Linked DNA regions of Nothobranchius furzeri. The protein of the gene in region 1 binds, or shares a complex with, the protein of each later gene. Links are inferred from orthologs where the notes say so. Each region holds a gene or a part of one and is shown in the gene's direction. Other genes may lie near its edges.

Region 1 (7,955 bases):
CTGGGTAAACGGTACCCTTTCCCCCCCAGTCCAACGCCCCTGTCAGCAGGTGACAGGCTCCTGCGCTGGGGGGGGGGGGGGGGGCAACGCGCTGTGCCAGTGCGTCGGTACTGACACACGATTGTTCATGTCGGTTCATTTCCTTTAATGTTTTCTGTCTTTTATTTGCGCCTGATGTGTTTCGCTGCTGTGGAGCGGGGCGCATCACCTTGTCCTCCGATGCACTGAAGGAAATGAACGATTGCGTGTTAAATAATTTGGCAACACCTGATTGTTACTGTGGCCGTGCTCAGGAGGCAGATCCAACCGCAAAAACAGCGGAGTGCTCCCTGCTTGGCGGCCGCATCAGTGATCAGTGCATCGGAGGACAAGGTGTGCCCCGCTGCACAGCAGCGAAACACATCAGGTGCAAATAAAAGACAGAAAACATCAAAGGAAATGAACCAACATGAACGATTGCGTGTTAAATAATTTGGCAACACCTGATTGTTACTGTGGCCGTGCTCAGGAGGCAGATCCAACCGCAAAAACAGCGGAGCGCTCCCTGCTTGGCGGCCGCATCAGTGATCAGTGCATCGGAGGACAAGGTGATGCGCCCCGCTCCACAGCAGCGAAACACATCAGGCGCAAATAAAAGACAGAAAACATCAAAGGAAATGAACCGACATGAACGATCGCGTGTCAGTACCGACGCACTGTCACAGCGCATTGCCCCCCCCCCCCCCCCCCCAGCGCAGGAGCTTGTCACCTGCTGACAGCAGGCTGCTGTCTTTTCCGTGGACTGCATCTTGCCGGTCATTATCACGTGACAGCGACTAGTCGACGACAGGCAAAAAAAGTCACTATAGTGAAGTCGACTAGTTCATACAACCCCTGCTACTGCTCCCCAGAGTGTTCTGCAGCATAATCAGCACGTTCTCTTTGAACTTGATATCAAATTTTCGCCTCTTCTTCGTCTCTGCACGGTTAAAGTTACCCTCGCGGTCTATCACTGGCAAATCAAAAGTGAGACGATGACACAACCGCCCCCGTACTTGCTTGTTACCACATTCCACCCGGCCACAATAAGAGACCGGCCATTATTCACCTCCGCCGACTCCGACACCGGCCAAAATTGGAGACCCGGCCTTTAATTGAATACCGGCCTGTATTGGAGGATTTACGGTAGATGATATTCGATTTTGTGATGATAAATGCAATAATAAGCTTCTAAGATCGTCATTAAGGTATCTTTTTTATCCAAATTTACTTAGAACTAATTACATATTAAAAGATTTCCAAAGGGAAGAAATTGAAAAAATAAGAAGTGATTATATCACCTTCCCTATCCCTCCTAAAGGGAAAGAAGTCCAATTTAAATTTTTGAATAAAATTTACCCAACAAATAGACTCCTTGGGAATAGATTCAATATAGAAGCTGGTAATTGTGTATTGTGTGAAACAGAAGAGGAGGACTTAGACCATCTATTTTTTGTGCAATTTTATACAAATATTTTGGTTAGATTTTCATGCCTGGCTTTGTTCTAGTGGGATTCAAATTGCCCCATTTACCTTAAATAGGATAATGTTTGGAGTGTTTTTGAAAAAAAAGAAAGTTAATTATGGTGTTAATGTGTTATTAATTTTGTGCAAACAATTTATACATAAATGTCGATTTTTAAGACCAAACCAACACTCGCCTATTGGAAAAACGACTTAAAAGTATTAGTTAAATCTTTAAATTTAGTTAAAAAGAAAAAGGCTGATTTTTTTTATTTCCTTGTAGAAGATTTTGAGTTAGTAAGTTAATAATCTGTTAATGATGTGACCCCATCTTTAGATTTTCTTTTTTTTTCATATACGTGAAAATGTTTAATATGTAAGTAATGATTATCTTTTGAACATATAATGTAAGGTGCATTTTGTTTGTACAGGTGCTGGCCAGTAAATTAGAATATCATCAAAAGGTTGAAAATATTTCAGTAATTCCATTCAAAACGTGAAACTTGTACATTATATTCATGCAATGCACACAGACCAATGTATTTCCAATGTTCATTACATTTAAATTTGATATTTATAGGTGACAACCAATGAAAACATCAAATCTGGTATCTCAGAAAATTAGAATATTCTAAAGGCCAATGAAAAAATGTTTGTTTCTCTAATGTTGGCCAACTGAAAAGAATGAACATGAAAAGAATGTGCATGTATAGCACTCAATACTTAGTCGGGGCTCCTTTTGCCTCAATAACTGCAGTAATGCGGCGTGGCATGGACTCGATCAGTCTGTGGCACTGCTCAGGTGTTATGAGAGCCCAGGTTGCTCTGATAGTCGTCTTCAGCTCCTCTGCATTGTTGGGTCTAGCGTATTGCATCCTCCGCTTCACAATACCCCATAGATTTTCTATGGGGTTAAGGTCAGGCGAGTTTGCTGGCCAATCAAGGACAGGGATACCATGGTCCTTGAACCAGGTGCCGGTGGTTTTGGCACTGTGTGCAGGTGCCAAGTCCTGTTGAAAGGTGAAGTCTGCATCCCCATAAAGTTGGTCAGCAGCAGGAAGCATGAAGTGCTCTAAAACTTCCTGGTAGACGGCTGCATTGACCCTGGACCTCAGGAAACAGAGTGGGCCAACACCGGCAGATGACATGGCACCCCACACCATCACTGACGGTGGAAACTTTACACTGGACCTCATGCAACGTGGATTCTGTGCTTCTCCGCTCTTCCTCCAGACTCTGGGTCCTTGATTTCCAAAGGAAATGCAGAACTTGCTTTCATCAGAAAACATAACTTTGGACCACTCAGCATCAGTCCAGTCCTTTTTGTCCTTGGCCCAGGCGAGACGCTTCTTGCGCTGTTTCTTGTTCAAGAGTGGCTTGACACACGGAATGCGACACCTGAATCCCATGTCTTTCATGAGTCTCCTCGTGGTGGTTCTTGAAGCGCTGACTCCAGCTGCAGTCCACTCTTTGTGGATCTCCCCCACATTTTTGAATGGGTTTGTCGTCACAATTCTCTGCAGGGTGCGGTTATCCCTAGAGCTTGTACACTTTTTTCTACCACATTTTTTCCGTCCCTTCGCCTGTCTGTTAATGTGCTTGGACACAGAGCTCTGCGAACAGCCAGCTTCTTTAGCAATCACCTTTTGTGTCTTGCCCTCCTTGTGCAAGGTGTCAATGATTGTCTTTTGGACAGCTGTTAAGTCAGAAGTCTTCCCCATGATTGTGGTGCCTTCAAAACAAGACTGAGGGACCTTTTAAAGGCCTTTGCAGGTGTTTTGAGTAAATCAGCTGATTAGAGTGGCAGCAGGTGTCTTCTATATTCAGCCTTTTCAGAATATTCTAATTTTTTGAGATACCAAATTTGGAGTTTTCATTAGTTGTCACTTATGAATATCAAATTTAAATGTAATGAACATGGGAAATACATTGGTCTGTGTGCATTGCATGAATATAATGTACAAGTTTCACGTTTTGAATGGAATTACTGAAATATTTTCAACCTTTTGATGATATTCTAATTTACTGGCCAGCACCTGTATGTTATCTTCTCTAATTAAAAAAAAATCTGCTCGCTAGCTACCAAAATAAAAGCGTAGAAGAAAAGCTGGACCAATAGGTACGCGCGCGTCTATGTCACGTGGTCTCAGAAAATGTCCACTTGACGCCAGTATCCCGGTCTCGTTCGAGGTGCTGTTTGGAGTTCTGATTCTGACGGTGTTCCGCAGCTAGCTGAAGGTAAACGTCTTTCCCGAACAGGAAGCTCACAGCTGATTTAGTTTCCAGAGTTCCGTTCAGATTCGGCTCTCTGGACCGGTGTACATCGTGGTCCTAATCCCTCGATGTGTTTGTTAGAAACGGGGAATCTCTTTGCGGATTCAGTTAAGAGTCTGATGTGAATTTGTAAAAGCTAAACGTTTGTTTAAAAAACGCCATTGTTGCATCTGTCCCACGAAGCAAAGTCACGTGTCAGGGACTCGAAGACAACACGCCAGACAGACACAAGGTGTTTGTGTTTACATTCCACTTCAGACACCTTCAGCTACCAGGCTAGATAGTTTGTCCATGATAATCAGACCGGAACTCCTGTCTACTGGAGTGTGTTTGCCTTCATCACCTGATCCTGGATCACTGTTTTGGATTTATAGATTATGGGATGCTGCCAAGACGTTCTGTCATGGAGCGGTTATCTTGGCGGAGTTCTAGTCTCGCTCCATTCTCTTCAGTACAAACTCAAGTGGGTTTCTGTTGCAGGTATGAAGCTCCGGGTCCAACTCCAGTGTAAGAACCTGCATGAGTACATGAAGGAGCTGAGTCCTGATGTCCTAGACCGGCTCTTCAACCACCCAGCAACCTGTCTGGCGGTCTACAGGTGAGCCTGATCAGGTCTGGGTTTGTCTCCTCTTCTCTTCCTCACTACGCTGTCTGGTCTCCTACAGGGAACTTCCCAAGCTAGCCCAGAACTATGTGATACGCATGCTGTTCTTGGATCAGCCACTTCCCCAGGCAGCCGTAGCTCTGTGGATGAAAAAGGACGGTCAAAGGTCAGTTGCTCATCTGGTGTCTCCTGATCCTACGTCTCTGTAGTGGGCCTGAACAGGGACCCAGTCACAGGTGGGTTCTGATTTCCTCCAGCTCTGTGTCTTCTGCAGGGACCATGATGAGTGCGTGTCTGTCCTGACTGGTCTCCGTCTCTGGCACAGTCAGCAGCTGCAGGGTGGCCTGCAGGGTTACACTTTAAATCCAGTTTTCAAAGACAACCTGAGGACTGCTTTGCTGGGGGGGTGAGTGGCTTGAGGACTTCCTGCTTCAGCAGAGCTGAAGCTGCTCTTCCAGAAAAGTCTGATCCATTTGTGTGAACCACTTGTTTTGATCAAACAGTGGCACCGCATGGGCTGAAGAGCAGAGTGCCCTGGGTCCAGATCGTCATGCACGGGACATAGAAAGTCTAGACCGCTACGCCATGGAGCGCTGGGAGGTCATTCTACAGTTCATGGTGGGGTCACCATGTGCAGTCAGCCAGGACCTCTCTCAGCTGCTGGTTCAAGCAGGCCTGATGAAGAGGTAGGTTAGATTAAAGTTATGGGTTTAAGTAAAACTTTAAAAGATTAGAAAGTATCTGCTTTAAATATTCACATTTATTTAAATCTTTTTAATGCATGCAAGTCTGAGAGTAGCTCATTTAGAGGGAAGCGAATCTCATCAGCTTGTTTTATAAAGTTTTTTTATTGGATAATTATAGTTACTATTATAATAATATTCTAATAATATTATCATTGTTTTTACCATGAAACTTTCCCCGAAAGTAGGGATGCACCGATACTGGTATCGGTATCGGTGCAGATACCGATACTATTATCTGTATCGGTAAAAGTTAACCGATACCAGGAACCGATACCAATGCAGTTGCTTGAAAATGGCTTCACTGTAACTTGTCATTTCTGTCCACCTAATATTTTATTTTTGGGATGATTTCTATTCATATATTTTACTTTTTATCTACCTCAAAGTCTTTTCCTGTTGAAAGCAGAGAAGAAAATAAAATCTGTATTCCAAATCATTGCATTTTTTTGTGTGGTAGAAGTGTCGGTATCGGTAATTGGTATCTGCGAGTACTCAGATCCAAGTATCGGTATCGTATCGGTTTAGAAAAAAGTGGTATCGTTGCATCCCTACCCGAAAGTGTAAGAGCTTCAGGTTGTGATGTTTTGGTCAGGTCTTGTCAGAAAAGCAGGACCATGTCGTCACAACTCAGACTCTCAGGACTCATCTCATCGTCTTAGCCTTTAATGTAACATAGACAATAAGCCCACCCCCGTCCCGTAGAGCCAGTTCAGCATTAGCCAATAGCGTTAGACATCTGCTCATGTACAGATGTTATCACAGGTGTACATACATTTGAGGACAGACTTAGATAGGTGCATAGTTGGCGATACTTCTTATGGACAAGTAAGTCTTTAAAAGTGTGTGTGTGTGTGTATAACTGAAGTATCTCCTGAGACGTTCCACCACATAACTGCAGGGTATAAGATGCTGGCAGGGAAAACTTAAATGGAACGCCACAACCAAGTGGCTGGCATCGTGTACAGCAGTGGTTCTCAATCCTGGTCCTGGAGGGCCGGTAAGCGGTTTCTCTGCTCCAACACACTTGATTCAGTGGTTGAATCACCTGTGCAGCAGCTCACCAGACTCTGCAGGTGCTTGTAAATCACCTGCTGATTGAAATCAGGTGTGTTGAAACAGGGTTAAAACTACAACACCCTGGATACCGACCATCCAGGACCAGGATTGAGAACCACTGGTGTACAGAGTGTGGACTGGAAGCCCCGAGGTTAAAGTGGGAAACATCCATAAGGCGGTAGAGGACGAGCAAGTCCACAAAAGTGCAGTTCAAAGGAAATCTAAGATACTGCAGAACACTGAAGCTCCCAGACCTCTGGTAGAGGACACAAGCTTTGAAGGATGAGACCACCCGCGGAGGGTGAGATGGGAATATGTTAAATAGATGAATTAATAAACAGCACAAGGTGAAAATAATAATTGTAAAACAACGTGTTTAAGCTCTGTTGGCCGACTAGCGGTGCACATTCATGAATAAAAGACGTTGCTTCCGCCGTAATCATGGAAGTAGCGAGAGGGGCTTACGGTGCAATACATTTTTCTGCCTCTAGATGGTGCCCTTTTGTAAATATCACTGGATTTCTGCTTTAAAGAGCGAGTAACACCTAAATGAACGTTTTTTACTGGTAACCTGTACAGATGAGTGTCTAATAGTGCTGTACACACGTGTATTCATTATTTTGGCAGTTTAGTGCAACTTACTGTAAATTAAAAATTTCAGCCCAAAACCGCAGATATCTCCATCTTCAGGTTAAAACTCTGCTCCACATTGAATTAGAATCAGCCACAGCTGTTGGCTGAGCTACAGGGTGACGTAGTCTGTGCAGTTCTACGTGGCTTCACTGCACTGGACTCTTGCTGAGTCTCGCCACACCTCCACCTGGCTCAACCACTCACCTGCTGACACGTTGGCACTCGGAGCCGCTCGCCTCCTTAAGAAAAATGTCCTCCTCCCCTTTTGTCTAATGACAAAAGCTATGATGAGCACGGAAGCCGGGTTGGGAAGTTTCAAAGAGTTGGCAGGTTTGTAGTTATTGCTGTAGTTGAGTGGCGACTGAGCGTTCCAGGATCTTTGAGAGTAGTGGGAGGTTAGAGATGGGTCTGAAACCATCCATAGAGTCTGGGTTCAGACCGGGTTTTTTCAGAATGGGAGTAATGAAGGCGAGTTTGAGTGAAGGTGGGACAGATCCAGTGGTTAGGGAGGTGTTTATGATACCGATAATGAGAGGGGAGAGAGAGGGAAGACATGTTCTGATGAGGGGAGAGGGGATTGGGTCTAAATTGCAGGTGGTGAATTTCATGGATGAGACGAGCTTGGTTAAGTCAGGTGTAAAGGATGGGTCGTTTACATCTTACTTATGAACCATAAAATGTGGGATTCCTTAGAAATATGAAATATCAATCTGATGGATCTTTGACTATTTTAACCAGAAGATCAGAACTTTTTATTGCAGGGATTAAGTGACACTTCGTATTAACTCTAAGGAAAGAGAGAGAGAGTCAGGTTTAAAATAGTTAAGAAATTTATTTCTACACAATTTAAACAAGACTAACTTAAACACTCTGTGTACTGATGGAACTAAAGTGGAGTGAGACTTGAAATGATGATGGTGTGTGTGTGTGTGGAATGTTATCAGAACCAGCGGATCCGGAGAAGCATTTAGGTCTGAGTGGGAGTGAATGTTTCGCTCTAAACTTAGGAGGAGATTTATAACACACATGAAACGCCATCTGTCGGTCTGCGTACCCCGGGGGAAGCCTCCGATCAGATCCAGAATGTCGAGGTCCTCGTGGACCCTCTTTGGTACAGAAGCCGGTAGAAAAGCAGCGGTGCCGACCAAACTAGTCTTGGA
Region 2 (8,069 bases), on another chromosome or scaffold:
AGTTTTTGAACGCGGAATTTAACCAACTGTTAAATCTTAATTTCGTGCAGGGCTCAGTGTGAAAATATGACATATCAAGGAACTTACAACCTAATAAATATTCAAAACTGGTAAATAAAAAAAATTTTTAGTTGACAGAATCAGTTTTTAGAGCATTTGTTATGCAGATGCTATTAAGGAAAGCAAATATACATTTAAATGAAAATCTACAGCAGCACTGGGCTGCCCAGGGATGTGCCTGACTTAAATTGGCTTTATTAAGGAGGAATATCGGCCAATAATCGTATTTTAAAAATGGTATCAACCAGATATATCGACTGACTGATATATTTGTTTACCCCTATTGGTAACAAATAAATATTGATTGACTGACTTAAGCTGCATGAAAAAAAAAATACATACTTGGCAATCCCATGGACACACACACTTGTATAACTGCTCACAGACAGCACATGATGAAGAGTGTTGTAACTACAGAACATGTGGGTGAACTGAAATTACAATCGTGTGCTTTTATGAGCAAGCTGATCCTTCTCAAAAGACCCTCTAGGTGCATTATGTTCGTTTGCCTTGCATTTTAAATTATTCTTAGATTTATCTATGTAACTTTGAAAGCCCGGCTTAGTTGCATTTCTGCTGTGAAATAATTTCTTTATGACATGATCATTTTCAGCCTGAAGCTCCCTGCTGGCATTTCTTCACACGTTATTACCAGAGTCGCCAGCCGTTTTGTTTAAAAAAAACATATTTGTCAGTCTAAAATAAAAGGATACATATAAAGTCAGCAGCCTCGGTGTCTTGGATGATTTTAATGACTGTAAAAGGAATTTCTCCAGCTTAGATTTCAACTGTGGGATCCATGAATCCTAAACACAAAAATATTAATAAGCAAAAGAAAAATGTAAATTCAGTTTGAATGTTGCAGTCGCTGATGGGCGAAAAATACAGAAAGAATCATTTCTGAGTACCTGAAAAAGATCTTTGAAGGACGGGTGAACGGTGGGGTTGGGAACAAAAGGCAAAGCGTAGTAAGGCAAGAACTCAGTGGTCTGACTCAAAGCTGCACCCCGAGTTTCAAGGTACTGCTTAAAGAGGGAAATCCTCTCCTCAAACTCAGCTTGGTCCTGGAAAGCGATTTGAAATTAAATGTTTAAACTATCAGTCAGACAAATTTCCTGTCTACAAACATGCTCAAAATAAATCAGGAAGCATCTTTGCCACATGACTTTTTTCCTTCCTAAAGGGTGGCTTAATTATTTTAACTAAAGATGATGTTCACATAAGGGATTATGCATCATAGTGTAAGTTAGACAACTACTGTTATTTAGTGTTGTTCAAGGGTACTACTTTTGAGAAAGCATGTGGCGCAGCTTGGTGGACACTTTGAAAACAACACATTTGGTTGTATTTTGGATTTCCTCTTGGTAATAAAACCAATACTTACTCGTCTATTAGGGTGTCTTCTCAGTGGATAGATGGAAAAGTGGATATGGAGGTAGAACTCAAGGCTTTGTGCTTCAGTGTCTGTGTGTTTGACCTCAGAGGGAATATTCTCTGTCCACAGCTCAAAAAACACCTTGTGGTCTCCGTCATCAAATGAGCTAAGAAGGTCCTTCTAGAAACGTCACATTCAGAAGGAGAAAATCGCACAAAACAAGAACTCAGAGAAAATATTCAGGTAAATATTCAAAATCAGCTGGACCATCTTGGCATTTGCATACTTGTTAGGCTGTGTACGTCCTTTTGTAGGATTACTGGAACTACATAAACGTCTCCCCACTATGACAGAAAACACACCAACATAGCAGATTTCCATGTTGAAGAAGAGCATTGTTTACCTGAATGACACGAGTCTTAGAGTCTCTTAGAGCATTTCCTCTCGGTTTTGAGACCAGCTTGCCTTTCCTTTTGCATTCCTTGTCAAAAACCTGAACAGTCTCCTCAAACTCCTCAAACGTGAGGTACTGCAACAAACAAACAAACATGATTCAACTTAAACAGTGAAGGATGACACTGAGTTTTGGTGCATTTCATTCATTTTCAGCGAACATCAATATTGCTGTGACCCAGATATCTTCTCTACCTCTTTGATCATCCCAAGAAGATCAGCTTCTGTTGCCAAGACGTCCCCCATCTTGGCTTCCTCACTGGAACTCATGTGTGTACCGAAAACATTTAATACCCCTTTAGACGGGAACGATTTCTGCTTTCATTCAAAAACGTTTATAGATCTAGGGTTCAAGCTAAAAGGTGCAAGAACAAAAGAGCAAAATACATAAGTAAAAACTTAATTCTATGAGCAGTAGTAAAAATAACCAAACACCAAAACGCACAACGGAATGCTAGTGTAACTTCGGCAGGCATGTGGGGTTTTATACCATCTTAAATGGTTTAACATCAAGATTAGCAACAACTTATGAAGCTACAAGCTATCTAATTAGTTGACACACGACAGGACATTAACATGGCTCCTACCTTATTCGCACGTAATTTGATTTGGGAGAATTGACGTACAAACAAGTTTGTGATGCGTTAACAAGTAAACGAGATCCATAAAGTACATTTTTGCTCGCTTTGTCGGACAGTGAACGAAAAAATAGCTGGCAACCACAAACAGGAGGGACGCTAAAAATACCTAGCAACCAGAGGGTCACCGGAAAGTAAATGTGAGTGTCGTAAACTAAAACTAACTAAATGTATTATATTTTACAAGAAAATATATTGAATAACCTTAAGTTATGAGGCATGCGATTTAGAAAAACAAAAGTAAACGATTGTAAATTATAACAACGCACAGACAAACGTAATTGTTGACCTTTTTTAGGATACATTATGCAATTTTAATGGTAAAACTATTATTTTAGTACGAGTATTATATTTTTACAATTTCTTATGTTTTACTTTGCTTTTTAACATAAACATTTATTTTTTCATTTTATTTTGTTTTATGAGAAGTACTTCCCGTGTCAAAGGTTAATCACGTTGTTTCTGCGCGCCACAGATTGGCTAGATAGCAATGAATTAAATTACTCTTAAATAACAAATCTAGCTTATGTTTTGAACAGTCGCTGTTGTCCTAAAGAATCGAGTAGTTGCGAGGCTTCTGTGTTTGCATTACGACATCTAAAAATAATTTGGGGTAAGTGCAACAAATGAATTAACAGTATGCTAAAGCTAGCTGTTAGCCAAAATAGGAGATTCAACGTGGAAGATAAAACTTGCCAACTTTAACTGACGTATGTCCTAGTCTTATTTTTATATAAAAGTATTTTATGGTAATATGCTTATAGCAGTTGATTTCTTGTGCTACCTAACGTTTCATTGCTTTTTAAAAGTTACTATAGTTTATTACGTTTTATTTTTTGTTGACAGGTTGTTCAAGTCATAACAGGGGCTTAAACATTTGATCCCCTGCACAAATTCACAGAGTGGGCCAACGATGGCTGGAATTTTGTTTGAAGATATCTTTGATGTGAAAGACATTGATCCAGATGGCAAGAAGTTTGACAGAGGTACTTATGAAGTACAATAACGTATTGGGGTGACTTATTTAATTATTCCATCATATTGTTTTTGTCGTATTGACATAATGCACAGGTATATTGACTCATGAGTAATCATTTATTCTACGTTTTTATTTGCCCACGTTAAGGCAGACTTTACATAGTGATGTTAAAGAAAATCTGGCATCCTGAAGTTAAAAGCTAATATAAAATTGAAAGACATTCAGCTCATTAAGAGAGCAGTTAAAAAACCAACTTGCTTATTGGATTTAGTTTATACAGGTGCTGGCCAGTAAATTAGAATATCATCAAAAGGTTGAAAATATTTCAGTAATTCCATTCAAAACGTGAAACTTGTACATTATATTCATGCAATGCACACAGACCAATGTATTTCCAATGTTCATTACATTTAAATTAGATATTCATAAGTGACAACTAATGAAAACTCCAAATTTGGTATCTCAAAAAATTAGAATATTCTGAAAAGGCTGAATATAGAAGACACCTGCTGCCACTCTAATCAGCTGATTTACTCAAAACACCTGCAAAGGCCTTTAAAAGGTCCCTCAGTCTTGTTTTGAAGGCACCACAATCATGGGGAAGACTTCTGACTTAACAGCTGTCCAAAAGACAATCATTGACACCTTGCACAAGGAGGGCAAGACACAAAAGGTGATTGCTAAAGAAGCTGGCTGTTCGCAGAGCTCTGTGTCCAAGCACATTAACAGACAGGCGAAGGGACGGATAAAATGTGGTAGAAAAAAGTGTACAAGCTCTAGGGATAACCGCACCCTGCAGAGAATTGTGACGACAAACCCATTCAAAAATGTGGGGGAGATCCACAAAGAGTGGACTGCAGCTGGAGTCAGCGCTTCAAGAACCACCACGAGGAGACTCATGAAAGACATGGGATTCAGGTGTCGCATTCCGTGTGTCAAGCCACTCTTGAACAAGAAACAGCGCAAGAAGCGTCTCGCCTGGGCCAAGGACAAAAAGGACTGGACTGATGCTGAGTGGTCCAAAGTTATGTTTTCTGATGAAAGCAAGTTCTGCATTTCCTTTGGAAATCAAGGACCCAGAGTCTGGAGGAAGAGCGGAGAAGCACAGAATCCACGTTGCATGAGGTCCAGTGTAAAGTTTCCACCGTCAGTGATGGTGTGGGGTGCCATGTCATCTGCCGGTGTTGGCCCACTCTGTTTCCTGAGGTCCAGGGTCAATGCAGCCGTCTACCAGGAAGTTTTAGAGCACTTCATGCTTCCTGCTGCTGACCAACTTTATGGGGATGCAGACTTCACCTTTCAACAGGACTTGGCACCTGCACACAGTGCCAAAACCACCAGCACCTGGTTCAAGGACCATGGTATCCCTGTCCTTGATTGGCCAGCAAACTCGCCTGACCTTAACCCCATAGAAAATCTATGGGGTATTGTGAAGCGGAGGATGCAATACGCTAGACCCAACAATGCAGAGGAGCTGAAGACGACTATCAGAGCAACCTGGGCTCTCATAACACCTGAGCAGTGCCACAGACTGATCGAGTCCATGCCACGCCGCATTACTGCAGTTATTGAGGCAAAAGGAGCCCCAACTAAGTATTGAGTGCTATACATGCACATTCTTTTCATGTTCATTCTTTTCAGTTGGCCAACATTAGAGAAACAAACATTTTTTCATTGGCCTTTAGAATATTCTAATTTTCTGAGATACCAGATTTGATGTTTTCATTGGTTGTCACCTATAAATATCAAAATTAAACGTAATAAACATCGGAAATACATTGGTCTGTGTGCATTGCATGAATATAATGTACAAGTTTCACGTTTTGAATGGAATTACTGAAATATTTTCAACCTTTTGATGATATTCTAATTTACTGGCCAGCACCTGTATAACCTACAGCAGACAATGTTTATAATCTACTGACAAATTCTCACCTATTGCAGTGTCTCGTCTGCACTGTGAGAGTGAATCTTTTAAGATGGACCTCATCTTGGACGTGAACATTCAGATCTATCCTGTGGATCTTGGTGAGAGCGTAAGCCCTTTTACCGAGGGCACTCTTATTTAGTTAATTCTTAATACAATAAAAATCTGACTTATAACATATTATAAAGGTGACAAGTTTAGACTGGTGATTGCCAGTACTTTGTATGAAGATGGAACACCGGATGATGGAGAGTACAATCCTCAGGATGATCGACCATCTCGGTGAGACATTTTTTGCACTCTTCCATCATCTCGTAGTGTGTGTGATCTTTTGATGTTTGAGGTTTGGGCTCTCTGTTTACATTTTCATTCATAGAGCGGACCAGTTCGAGTATGTGATGTATGGAAAAGTCTACAAAATTGAAGGAGATGAGACTTCAACAGAAGCTGCAACTCGCCTGTGAGTAAATTTCTTATTGCTGCACAATTTTTACAACAAATAAAATAAAATGATCTAAGTGTTGAAGTTAAGGAACAATTATAATTTTTTTAATGATCATGAATTTAAGATCGGACATGTATTGTTAATCTGCTTCCACCGATTTGCTTGATGTTTCAGATCTGCTTATGTTTCTTATGGAGGCCTCCTCATGAGGCTGCAGGGCGATGCCAACAATCTTCATGGTTTTGAAGTAGACTCCAGAGTCTACCTCCTCATGAAAAAACTGGCTTTCTGAACTAAAAAATCCCCCCCCCAACATACACACACAGATTGTTTCAAAGTCATGGTGAAACAATCACTAATACTCGGGTCTGGAGCAGCTGCCAGATGGAATACTGGACTAGTTTTATTATTATTTTTCCATAATGTTGTTTCTAGGACAGAGAAGATTTTTCATGAAAAAAAAACTTTTACAACTTCTAAATGCATGCAAATTGTAAATAAAGATTTCTTTTGTAAAATGATTCATTCATTTATTTAGAAGGATCAGTGCACATCAAATAATTTTTATCGAAGTATCAATACAGGTAAATATGCTGGATTATGTGACACATATAAATTTACATTTGCAGTCCCTATAGGCAGGGCGCACAAAAGCACAGCAAACAGTAGTTACAAAAGGGACACGTCACAGACAGTACTGTGCAAAAGTTTTAGGCAGGTGTAAAACTGCTATAAACAAAGAATGCTTTCAGAAATAAAATGATTGGTTGTTTTTATCAATTAAAAAAATGCTAAGTGAATGACCCCAAACATCCAGCATAAGACCTTAACAACTATCTTCAGCATAAAGAACAAGAAGTCCTGGAAGTGAGGGTCTGACCCCCACAGAGCCCTATTTTAACACAGTGGGGTGTGTCTGGGATCACATGAAGAGACAGAAGGTTGCGAGAAAACCTACATCCACAGAACATCTGTGGTTAGTTATCCAAGATGTCTGGAACAACCTACCAGCCCAGTTCCTTAAACAGCTGTGTTCAAGTGTCCCTAGAACAACTGATGCTGTTTTGAAGGCAGAGTGGTCACACCAGATACGTGTCTCTTTTGTTCATGAACTCTTTTATGTCGATTGATGAAAATAAACGATTAACACTTCCATTGTTGAAAGCATTCTGTTTGCTGCATTTTGTCATACCTGCCTAAAACTTTTGCTCAGAGCTGTGCACATTACATTTCATACATTAGCAAAGGTCAAAGGTTACTTGACTGCATTCAGCCAGTGTTTCAGCTGACTTGAAAGCTTGTGCTGTTGAGCACTCCCCTATAAGGAGCAGGAGACTTACAGATATTTATGGGGGCATTTTGTCCAGAGGCTGTTTTTCTGTAAGCGACCTCACGGACCGAGACAGCTGTGACCCCCCCCTTTTTTTTTCTTTTATGGTCGCAGGATGGTCGCGACACTAGGCCAGCATGGCGCAGAGCGAGGTCTGATCAACGCTGCTTTCAGCTGTAATTTTGCTTTATTCATTTTCTGGAGTTTTTTTCCATTGACCCATCTCAGCAAAGCCTGAGGTGGACTTTAAACATGCTAACTTTTGTTTGCTCGTTATCTGCAAAACATGGGGAGTTGCTATAGTAATGATTTTAGAAATATGTTGCAAATGGCTTTCGTAACTTACAAGTCAGAGATTTCTTAACACTGCAAAAAGTGCCTCTGACTACTAAATTTTGGGTGTAATCTCCCAAGTGCTGATGCTGATATTTGATCATGACTGTTGGTCGAATCCCATCACAGTGGTATTTGAATGTCCATGGAATCTCGATGATAGCAAATGGAAATGTGAAAACTCAGGAGGCAGAAAATTGAATTAAAGGCGAAGAAGCAGCTTTTGTGCTTTAAACAGACCACTCCGTGCCTGCAGTAATGGATGTCACAGGATGGAGAAGCACGCTCACAATGACTCACGTATCCATGCATAGGAGTAAATATGTGTGTAACTTATCAGTTATACATCATAACAGTTTCATATTTTAAGCATTCTTGTGTGGATGCTTTTTTCTGTAGGATACTTGATTTATGCAGTGGTTTGTGTGCAAACACAAAAATATCGAAGAACACCTAATCACTGTAGCCATTTAGCTCAATTCTGTTTTCCTGGGAATATTTTTTTTCCTCTTGAGTGGTGGTCTGCGCT

Evidence for each region. The genes of interacting proteins can lie anywhere in the genome.
Region 2: gtf2h4 (region 1) and polr2h share a complex: the UniProt entries of both Homo sapiens proteins name them as parts of the TBP-based Pol II pre-initiation complex. The link is inferred for Nothobranchius furzeri from reciprocal best matches to the Homo sapiens genes GTF2H4 and POLR2H.

Annotation. Positions count from the first base shown.
Region 1 is NC_091751.1:25,553,043-25,560,997, forward strand, and holds the start of gtf2h4 (general transcription factor IIH subunit 4), read left to right. Parts: upstream 1-3,597; 5' UTR 3,598-3,720; intron 3,721-4,236; 5' UTR 4,237-4,238; coding exon 4,239-4,354; intron 4,355-4,421; coding exon 4,422-4,526; intron 4,527-4,634; coding exon 4,635-4,766; intron 4,767-4,863; coding exon 4,864-5,046; intron 5,047-7,955. UniProt on the Homo sapiens protein: Component of the general transcription and DNA repair factor IIH (TFIIH) core complex, which is involved in general and transcription-coupled nucleotide excision repair (NER) of damaged DNA and, when complexed to CAK, in RNA transcription by RNA polymerase II.
Region 2 is NC_091748.1:62,880,680-62,888,748, reverse strand, and holds polr2h (DNA-directed RNA polymerases I, II, and III subunit RPABC3), read left to right. Parts: upstream 1-2,966; 5' UTR 2,967-3,139; intron 3,140-3,372; exon of another isoform or gene 3,373-3,427; 5' UTR 3,428-3,439; coding exon 3,440-3,512; intron 3,513-5,449; coding exon 5,450-5,533; intron 5,534-5,620; coding exon 5,621-5,714; intron 5,715-5,808; coding exon 5,809-5,892; intron 5,893-6,051; coding exon 6,052-6,169; 3' UTR 6,170-6,398; downstream 6,399-8,069. Other genes in the region: lisH domain-containing protein ARMC9, read right to left, coding at 774-866, 969-1,124, 1,445-1,615, 1,839-1,964, 2,084-2,158. UniProt on the Homo sapiens protein: DNA-dependent RNA polymerase catalyzes the transcription of DNA into RNA using the four ribonucleoside triphosphates as substrates.